3 linked regions of the Kluyveromyces lactis genome follow. The protein of the gene in region 2 purifies or fractionates together with the protein of the main gene of each other region. This does not show direct contact. Links are inferred from orthologs where the notes say so. Each region holds a gene or a part of one and is shown on either strand. Other genes may lie near its edges. The genes, in order: VID24, FYV10 and GID7.

Region 1 (2,384 bases), on a different chromosome or scaffold from region 2:
TTGACAGCATACACCGAGCGTAGAGAAAGAAAGAGTTAGCTGCGCTAAGTTGTTACCCGCACCTCGGAACAAACCGGATCGGGCTATGTCTGTGAATGTTCCTTTCCCCTGTAGCAACATTCTCTCGTATTTCTTTTTGTGAACTTTGGTCCTTCTTTGATTCTTCCTCCGCCATTTCGTTGGGTACCTCTCTGTTCCAACTTGGTGCCGGAAAAAAAGAAAATCCAAAACGAAAGGTTTTTCCGGGTATTTTGCCCAGAAACCGGTGCACAGTCTCTTCGATATTTCCCCCCGTTTCTTTTCCTTCAACACCAGACTCGCACCTCGATCATAATTCACTCCTGAACACATTTACTCTCTTTTTACTTTTTTCCATTATGTGTCACTCCTTTCACCTATGCAGCCATTTTACTTCTGTCTCTGCCTTGTTCATTGGTTTTTCCCAGTCCAGTTGATAGGATAGAGTCATGGTTGGAACTGGAAATCTTCCTCTTCCGCGTGTTTCATTGTCGGTTTCTTTGCCGTGTTTTATTTCTTTTCCTTTTATCTCTTTTTCTTATTTCTTTATCGATGTCGATCTGGTCTTCGCTTTTTAAAGGTGGCCTGGTGATGCTTTTTATATTACCTTCTTGATTGAGATAGTTATTATTATTATTATTACTATATATATGTATATATACCGAGTGGTTATTGTTGGACGTATTAATCTGTTCGCTGCTTCATCGCAGATTGCCTTTGTCAAGTGAGTTAGTTACTTGCTTTAGAAAACTAGTTACAACTTACAAGTTGTAAGGCAAGATACATTCATACATTTTACAGATGATCAACGAAGATACACGTTCGCATAGCTCTGGGTTGGAGACGCAACTCGCCAAGGCGAGTAGCTCGTCTCCATATAAGGGTCAGGGTCAGACCCAGGAACAACAGCAACAGCAACAGCAACAGCAAAAACAGCAATCACCTATAGCATTCCCTGCGCCTTTGACTCCTTTTTTCCATAGAAACCCATATTTCAGGAACACTTCGCTGCACAGAACTGGGTCTCACGATTCTATCAATTCGATACGGCGTTCGCATGAAAACTTTCAAGATTCGGAGGATTACGATATCCAGGACTCATGCTCACCATCTTTGAACTCGCCTCCTAGATCGAGACCTCAGACTCCCAAGAACCACGAAAGAACTCATTGGCTAGGGGCTAGAAAACGGTTTGTTGGGTACCAACTCTCGGGATACAAGAAGTTCCAAGTCATGATCACTATCCAATCTGTTTCTTTACCAAATGATAACGAATCCAACTGTTGCTCGCCTCATTTGACTGGATTCCTCTCTATAAAGGGTCTCACGGTACAAAATCCCGAGATCACCACTTTCTTCGAATCCATCACCGTAACGGATTCTCTAGGGTTTCTATCCAAAGATATCCCAATAGATTATGCGTCCTATAAGGCCTCGGACCAGACTGATTTGGAGCATTGGTTGAATTTCCCATCTTTCAAAGAACTTTGCATGCAAAACGATCCAAAGTATCCTTCTAAGAATATTCTACAATCTATCATCGATGGTACTTACTCACATACCGATTACTTGAATCAAAGGTTCCTTTACATGAGGTGGAATGAGAAATTCCTGGTGCCTGATGCCGATTTGGAATCAATAGATGGTGCATCTTACGACGGCTACTACTACATAGTACACGATCAATTACTTGGTAACATTCTGGGGTTCTACTACCATGAACATGCTGAAAGATTTCAACAGTTAGAATTGCAACCTTTACAAGAACCATCAATCGGAGATTGTTCATTCGAATTTGCATAATTAAATGACATTAAAATAAATAAAACCACATCTTTCATGGGGTGTTTTATTTTCATTCTTTTTTTCTGTCTCTTCTAATTTACCAAGTTCCTTGCTCCACTCATTTACTTCAAATTTCAGTTCAAGTTTACTTCTACACCACATTACATTAATTCAGTTAATATTCTAATACCAATTTACGCTTTCACTTTTCATTTCTACCTAATCACGTCTCTAATGTCATATAAATAATGGGATATACATCGTTACAATTTACTGCTCGATTTGTTTCTCCTAGAAACCGAACGTCATGAAAAAAAAAAAAGAGGCCCTCGATGAGGATGAAGAAGGGGCAAAAAAATAACAGCTCGCACTCAGGATCGAACTAAGGACCAACAGATTTGCAATCTGCTGCGCTACCACTGCGCCATACGAGCTGGTTTCTTGCACAAATGTTTTACTTTCAGTTCATATCGGGATTTGTGAACCATTGCAAAGAACCATGTCACGTGCTGCTTACTCATCACAGTCTTTATTCACCTTAAACTTGGCCTCCAAACATTCTGAATATCTAACGATTCTTC
Region 2 (3,022 bases):
TGAAATAGATGAAACGATAGGGCCTATTACCCTGGAAATTGAGGATGATACTGATAGAGAATACCTCGAACAAGAGCTAGGCTCCTCCCATGACACTTCATTTGTCCACACGTACCAATCACTACCGAGGGCAACCGACGATGATAATGATGATCAGGTTGATGAACGCACTGAAGCAGTCCCATTCCCTGATTCCAGATTTTTGACTGTCACTTTCTTCTTACTTGCTGTACTATACGTTCTAGCGCTAAACGTTGAGTCATTCGCTTTAGTTCTTGCACTTGTTGGTGCAACTGGTTCTACAGCCATTTCATTCACGTTGCCAGGATTATTTGGGTGGAAGTTAATTGGTACTGAATCTTTGATGAACGGTGAGAGAATCGGAGGATGGGATAAAGCTCACAGATATGGAAGTCTGGCATTAGTCTGGTACGGTCTTATTATTATGGTAAGTTGTGTGTATATCACACTTTTTGTATGACCAGTTCAGCATCTCGCAGTTAAATCATTCAATGGTTCCAATCATTCTTTCTTGGCTAGATTATGAGCAAGGAGCTTTCTAAATAAAATTATTAAAATGTAATATATTCTGTCCTCGTCTGTTTGATGCTTTCTGGGTCTTAAACTTTAGGCGCAACACTTAGCCATTGGTATTTATCTTTTCACTAACAGTGTATAAACAAACGTCTGTAATGTTTCGCCTGATATTCCTACCCTCCAGTTGGTACTGCATCAACTCGACTTTAGCAATTTTTTTTTTCCAGCGTACCGGTTGATGTATTTCATTCATGGTAACTATATCTTTGTATTTCTGCATCAAATTGCATAAGAAAATTGAAAGGGGTTTTCACAATATACCTTAATCTTTAGGGATGAACCAAATAACTGACAAACTGGATCAATCAGTGTAATACTGGTGACGGTAAATCTACCAAAAAGCCTTTAGATGTCATTATGACTTCGTTAAACGAACCTAATGTCGATTTTCACCTAAAATTAAACCAGCAGCAGTTTAACATTCCTTCCGAATTGTTAAAGCGAAACTGGGATAAATTCAACAACCTATATACAAGCTATTCAGTAGAGCTACAGGGACAATTCGCTACTTTGAACACTTTACTTGAAGATCCAAATAAGGATGAGCAATCAATAGAAAAATTGAATGATATAATCAACACAGTGAACATTTTGCAGAAGAGACTATCGCAACTACATGATAATGAGTTAACAATTTTAGAAAGGATTGAGAAGAGAGTAGAATACTTCAAGCAGTTTGAAAGATTCAAATATGATTCTAACACTGACAAGCTTCTAAAATGGTACAGGTCATACACGGATTTGTTAATTGCCGATTATTTGGTAAGGCATGGTTCGAATTCTATAGATCATAAAAACAAGATTGCATCAAACTCTGGCATAGAGTTTATAAAGACTAGGGGATTAGAGGATTTGATTGATTACGAAGTTCTCATAGAAGCTAATCAGATATCTATGGAACTTATAGAAAATAAAAACCTTCGTCCTCTATTAGAGTGGATTGAAAATAACTCTGCGCACTTGACAGAAAAAGGTTCGCATTTACAGTTCCAAGCGTTATTGCAGGAGTACATTGAATTAGTACGATGTTCCGATTATAAAGCAGCAATCAGGTGCTTCCAAACACACCTTGCCCATTTCGCAAATATATATCCCAAAGAACTAAAACTGGCAGCGGGTATTCTTGCTTTCTTCAAAAGCTGCCTCAACAATGGTCGTGACGACGAAGTAACAAACGAACAAAAGTTGTTTCATGCCTATTTTAGAAAACAAATGTATCGACCACATCCGTTGTCATCAATTTCTTCTAGTAACGTTGTTCACAATGCTGAATTATGTCGATATGGTCCATTATTGGACCACGAGAGATGGGAAAGTTTGAATAAAATGTTCCTACATGAATTTTACTCACTCTACAAAATATCTTACCACGATCCACTATTAATATATATATCCTTAGGAATCTCTTCGTTAAAAACAAAGGATTGTGGTCACACCATTTCCGCGCAACTAATCCCTCATGAAAATCCGGAAGTAAATGAATACATTAAATCTAACGTTGTCAATACAGATTGTCCCGTATGCAATCATGACATATTCCCTCTATCTGAAAACTTACCATTTGCCCATCATATCCAATCGAGTTTATTTGAAAATCCAGTAATGTTGCCAAATGGCAATATTTACGACTCTGAAAAGCTAATATCATTATCTCGAAAACTAAACAAAATGGGGTACACTAAACTTAAAGAAAACCAAGTGATGGACCCTATTGATAAATCAATATATGCTACAACAGACTTTATCAAAATGTATCCTACTTAGATATAATAGAGAATATGTATTTTCTTATTCATCATCGCTGTCGTCTTTCAAAGGTTTTTTGGAATGTTTACGTTTATTGAACATTTCGAAAACGTACATTCTGGCATCTCTTTCCTCAGCTGGTTTGGTAGTATCCATTTCACTATTGGTACGCTTGTGATGATACCCTGGAAACTTGGACCAGTCGAATTTCCCTGATCTATCCACTTTCCAACCGTTATCTTTCGCTAGTATTTTTATTTGCCATGAATCGTATGGTTCGCCACTAAATAGAGAAAGAACCACTTTTCCATAACCTTCATCATCAACTCGAGTTTCATTATTTAGTGAGTATCCACCCATAGAAATGCTTGAGTTTAACATAATCTGGCTACTGTTTACGAGTCTGAACAGCTGCTTACAACTATCAAAGTATTTGTACACCAATTGTTGATGTTCGTGAATATTTCTGCCTTGATCTTTTATTCCACGACCTGTATGTGGAAAATTGAATAAGATGAAATCCAGTTTCTTTGTAGTCCATGAATTCCCCACTACTTTCTGCCATGGAGTCTTTTTCGTGATCTTCAAAGATTTTTTTAAGTTTGTTGCATCGATCCCGAACAGCATGACGACTTCATTCTCTTTAAGGAAATTGTAGTTTTCTTCGAAGCTATGTGGA
Region 3 (3,769 bases), on a different chromosome or scaffold from region 2:
ATAAGGATGTAATTCAAGATTACAAATGGAAAATGGGTTTCACTTTTTCATATCCAGTCGATCAAACCTCCTTGAGCAGTGGTAAGTTGATTAGATGGACCAAGGGTTTCAAGATCGGTGATACTGTTGGGCAAGACGTTGTTCAACTGTTCCAACAAGAATTGAACGATATTGGGTTATCAAATGTTCATGTGGTTGCATTGACTAATGACACTACTGGAACCCTATTGGCTCGTTGTTACGCTTCCAGTGATGCGGCAAGAGCCATCAACGAACCAGTAATTGGCTGTATCTTTGGTACTGGTACGAACGGCTGCTACATGGAAAAGCTTGAAAATATTCACAAATTGGATCCAGCTAGCAGAGAAGAACTTCTGTCTCAGGGGAAGACCCATATGTGCATCAATACCGAATGGGGCTCTTTTGATAATGAACTAAATCATTTGCCTACTACAAGTTATGATATTAAGATTGATCAGCAGTTCTCCACCAATCCCGGGTTCCACTTGTTTGAAAAAAGGGTCAGTGGTCTTTATTTGGGTGAAATACTTCGTAACATACTACTAGACCTTGAAAAACAAGAGTTATTCGACTTGAAGGAATCTGTTTTAAAGAACAATCCCTTTATTTTAACCACAGAAACTTTATCACATATCGAAATTGATACCGTTGAGAACGACTTACAGGACACAAGGGATGCTCTTTTAAAGGCTGCTGACTTGGAGACCACCTTCGAAGAACGTGTCTTGATCCAAAAATTGGTAAGAGCTATTTCCAGGAGAGCTGCATTCTTAGCCGCAGTGCCAATTGCTGCAATTTTGATCAAAACCAACGCTTTGAACCAGAGTTATCACTGCCAAGTAGAGGTTGGTTGTGACGGTAGTGTCGTTGAGCACTATCCAGGATTCAGATCTATGATGAGACATGCATTAGCACTTTCTCCAATTGGCCCCGAGGGTGAACGTGATGTCCATCTACGTATCTCCAAGGATGGTTCCGGTGTTGGCGCTGCTTTGTGTGCTTTGCATGCAAATTATTAATTTTAATGACATTTTTTAAACATTTTGATTTGGTTTTAATTCCGCATATAATGCAGTTACGTCTATGAATGACTTTAAAGGATGAAAAACAATAACAATACATTCGCTACAGAGCACCAAACGCACATTTACTTTTATGTAGTTACAGTAGCCAGAAATCTGTTTAATGTATTCAACTCACTCTCTTATAACTTTGTTATGTAAGCTTACTTTATCTATTGGTATCGTACCTTTTTTTTTCCTTTGATTTACAACTGCCCTTCTTCGAGAAATCCCTTAAAAGACAATTTCATAAAATTTAAACCAACCCTCACTGGTTACTTCACGAAAGAATAGTTGAAGATAAAAGAGTTGCTACAATCATTTACAGAACTCATTGACCAAGCAAAGCTTACAGAACAGGTTCTTTAATCACAAATCACTCATAGGTTGGTCGAAATTAAAAATTATGGCTGTTCAAACCGCAGGATCAGACGTTTCACAGAGCAATGCTTCTGTCAGCACTGTCCCTACTAGCCATGACTCGTTCATTCCTAAATATACCAAAAAGCCTTTGTCACATCTAGACATTGACGGATCAGATCAACCTTTCGATCGAGTGCAGTTAACAAAGTTGTTGATTGATGCTTTAAAACAAATCGGATATGAAGAAACTGCAATTACCTTACAAAAGGAGAGCGGTGGGATATTGGTCGAATCAACTCATGTGAAGTCATTGTTTTCTGCTATAAAAGAGGGTAGGTTTTACCACTGTACGTTGGATCTATTGCTTCAGCTACCCATATTTCTCGAGTCCCTTGAACTATCAGGTGACTTATCACATGTCGAATTACCCCAAACAAAACGCAACATTTCAACCACAATAATTGACCACTTTCTCGCTGAATATGAGAAACTAGGTTTCGTGATGAAACGTCTGTCCGAATTCAAGGACGTTGATATAGTTAAGTTAACTATATGCGTGGAAATGCTAGTTGCAATTCAAACTTTGGCTTTCTCTGAGATTTTGATGTCAGATAGACGAATGGCCTTGGAATTATTAAGGCTTGTCATTAGACCTACGATCTCGATTTGGGATACGTTGCTAACACTGCAAACAATGAAATATGACTCAGAAATACAGTGGCAAACAGGAAATGATGTCATGTATTCCAACTCTTTTTCCTCTTTCCAACCTGAACACTTATTATCGCAGCTTTCTACCTTGATTGTATGTGGTCAAAACTCCAATGCTGCACCTTTCGTTACCAGAGAGGCCACATTTGAACACATCGCTCACTTTATTAATCCTAATGATTTAGTTCCTCGTGGTAGATTAATGCAACTATTGAAACAAGCAATTCAATACCAACGTTCAAGAGATTTGTTAAGCTTTCATATTGAGGATTCATCAACTGGTACTAAAAGAAGTGCTTCAAGTACCTATAATTTGTTACAGGATAATGTTACAAAATCAACTCAGTTTCAATTTGATAACATCAAAACATTGAATCGCAACAATGACGAAATCTGGTTCTTACAATTCTCGTCAGATGGGAGATTTTTGGCCAGTGCAAGCCCCTCAAAGAAATTCGAAAGGAAAATCATCATCTATGATGTAAAAAATAACTTCGAAATATATGCTATATGTTGTGAAACTCGTCAGTCTGTTTTATATCTTAAATTTTCCCCTGACAACACGAAATTGATCGCATGTTCAATCAACTCCGCTGCAAAAATATATGACCTAAACCAGCTATCCCCCCCTACATATGATGGCTATTTATGCGAATATGATCAGCTTAAACCTGTAGCATCCGTATTTGTTACATTCCCCACGACTTCAGATTCATCTGCCATTTCATCTAATAATACACCAGCATCAGCTGAAACTATGAGGTTATGGTGTGGAGATTGGTTCCATGATCCCGAATTGAAAGACTTCATCGTATTAGGTTCTCCGGATTCTGATGTAATAATTTATGACATGAAAACGGCTACCATTTTCGCTAGAATTTCGATGACTATGGGAGAAGATTTAAAGTCGTCCTTCCCTCATGTTCATGATATCAAGATTTCATCTGATGATAATGACTTGATTGTGATGAATAATGAGAAGTACATTGATGTGTTTGACATATCAACGTTGAAATACTGCATTAAAGAGAATGCAACGTTCGTTTCTCCCAGAAAGAGACGATTATTGATCGGTAAAAGAATGACTGGAATGCAGTTCCCAGACACTTCTCAATGTTCTCCAGATCCATCACTATCATCATTATTACTAGTCTCGATTCAAAACCAAGAGCTACAACTTTGGGACTATCAAAGAGATATTTTAATACAAAGGTACATCGGTCAAATCCAATCAAATTTCATAATACGTTCATGTTTCGGTTATTATTCAAATTTTATTGCAAGTGGTTCCGAGGATGGAAAGATTTATTTGTGGGATAGGTTCTATGGTAATATCATTGGTGTAATACCTGCCCATTCGGAAAATTCGACAAGTTCACAATCAAAGATATGTAACATTGTTGCATGGAATCCTCAAGATCAAACAATGTTTGCATCCGGCGGTGATGATGGTCTAGTTAAAGTATGGAGGGTATCTGCTACATAGTAGACAATTGTCTAGCTTCTCTTTTTCCTCTTTCCACGTCCAAACCGTGGAAGACTGGTAGTGAAACCACCAAAAAAAGGAATAACAAGTAAAATGCATACCTAATATTATGAGTTTTATCTGTAAT

What was found.
Region 1: the proteins of FYV10 (region 2) and VID24 purify together in Saccharomyces cerevisiae (affinity purification with mass spectrometry; 4 studies listed by BioGRID, with this or other methods). This does not show direct contact. The link is inferred for Kluyveromyces lactis from reciprocal best matches to the Saccharomyces cerevisiae genes FYV10 and VID24.
Region 3: the proteins of FYV10 (region 2) and GID7 purify together in Saccharomyces cerevisiae (affinity purification with mass spectrometry; 3 studies listed by BioGRID). This does not show direct contact. The link is inferred for Kluyveromyces lactis from reciprocal best matches to the Saccharomyces cerevisiae genes FYV10 and GID7.

The regions. Positions count from the first base shown.
Region 1 is NC_006038.1:833,595-835,978, forward strand, and holds VID24 (glucose-induced degradation complex subunit VID24), read left to right. Parts: upstream 1-819; coding exon 820-1,821; downstream 1,822-2,384. UniProt on the Saccharomyces cerevisiae protein: Substrate-recognition component of the GID E3 ligase complex recruiting N termini and catalyzing ubiquitination of proteins targeted for degradation.
Region 2 is NC_006041.1:764,337-767,358, reverse strand, and holds FYV10 (glucose-induced degradation complex subunit FYV10), read left to right. Parts: upstream 1-954; coding exon 955-2,361; downstream 2,362-3,022. Other genes in the region: AVT7 (Avt7p), read left to right, coding at 1-481; BMT5 (25S rRNA (uracil2634-N3)-methyltransferase), read right to left, coding at 2,386-3,022. UniProt on the Saccharomyces cerevisiae protein: Component of the GID E3 ligase complex recruiting N termini and catalyzing ubiquitination of proteins targeted for degradation.
Region 3 is NC_006039.1:88,490-92,258, forward strand, and holds GID7 (glucose-induced degradation complex subunit GID7), read left to right. Parts: upstream 1-1,488; coding exon 1,489-3,642; downstream 3,643-3,769. Other genes in the region: KLLA0_C01155g (uncharacterized protein), read left to right, coding at 1-1,040; ATG22 (Atg22p), read right to left, coding at 3,635-3,769.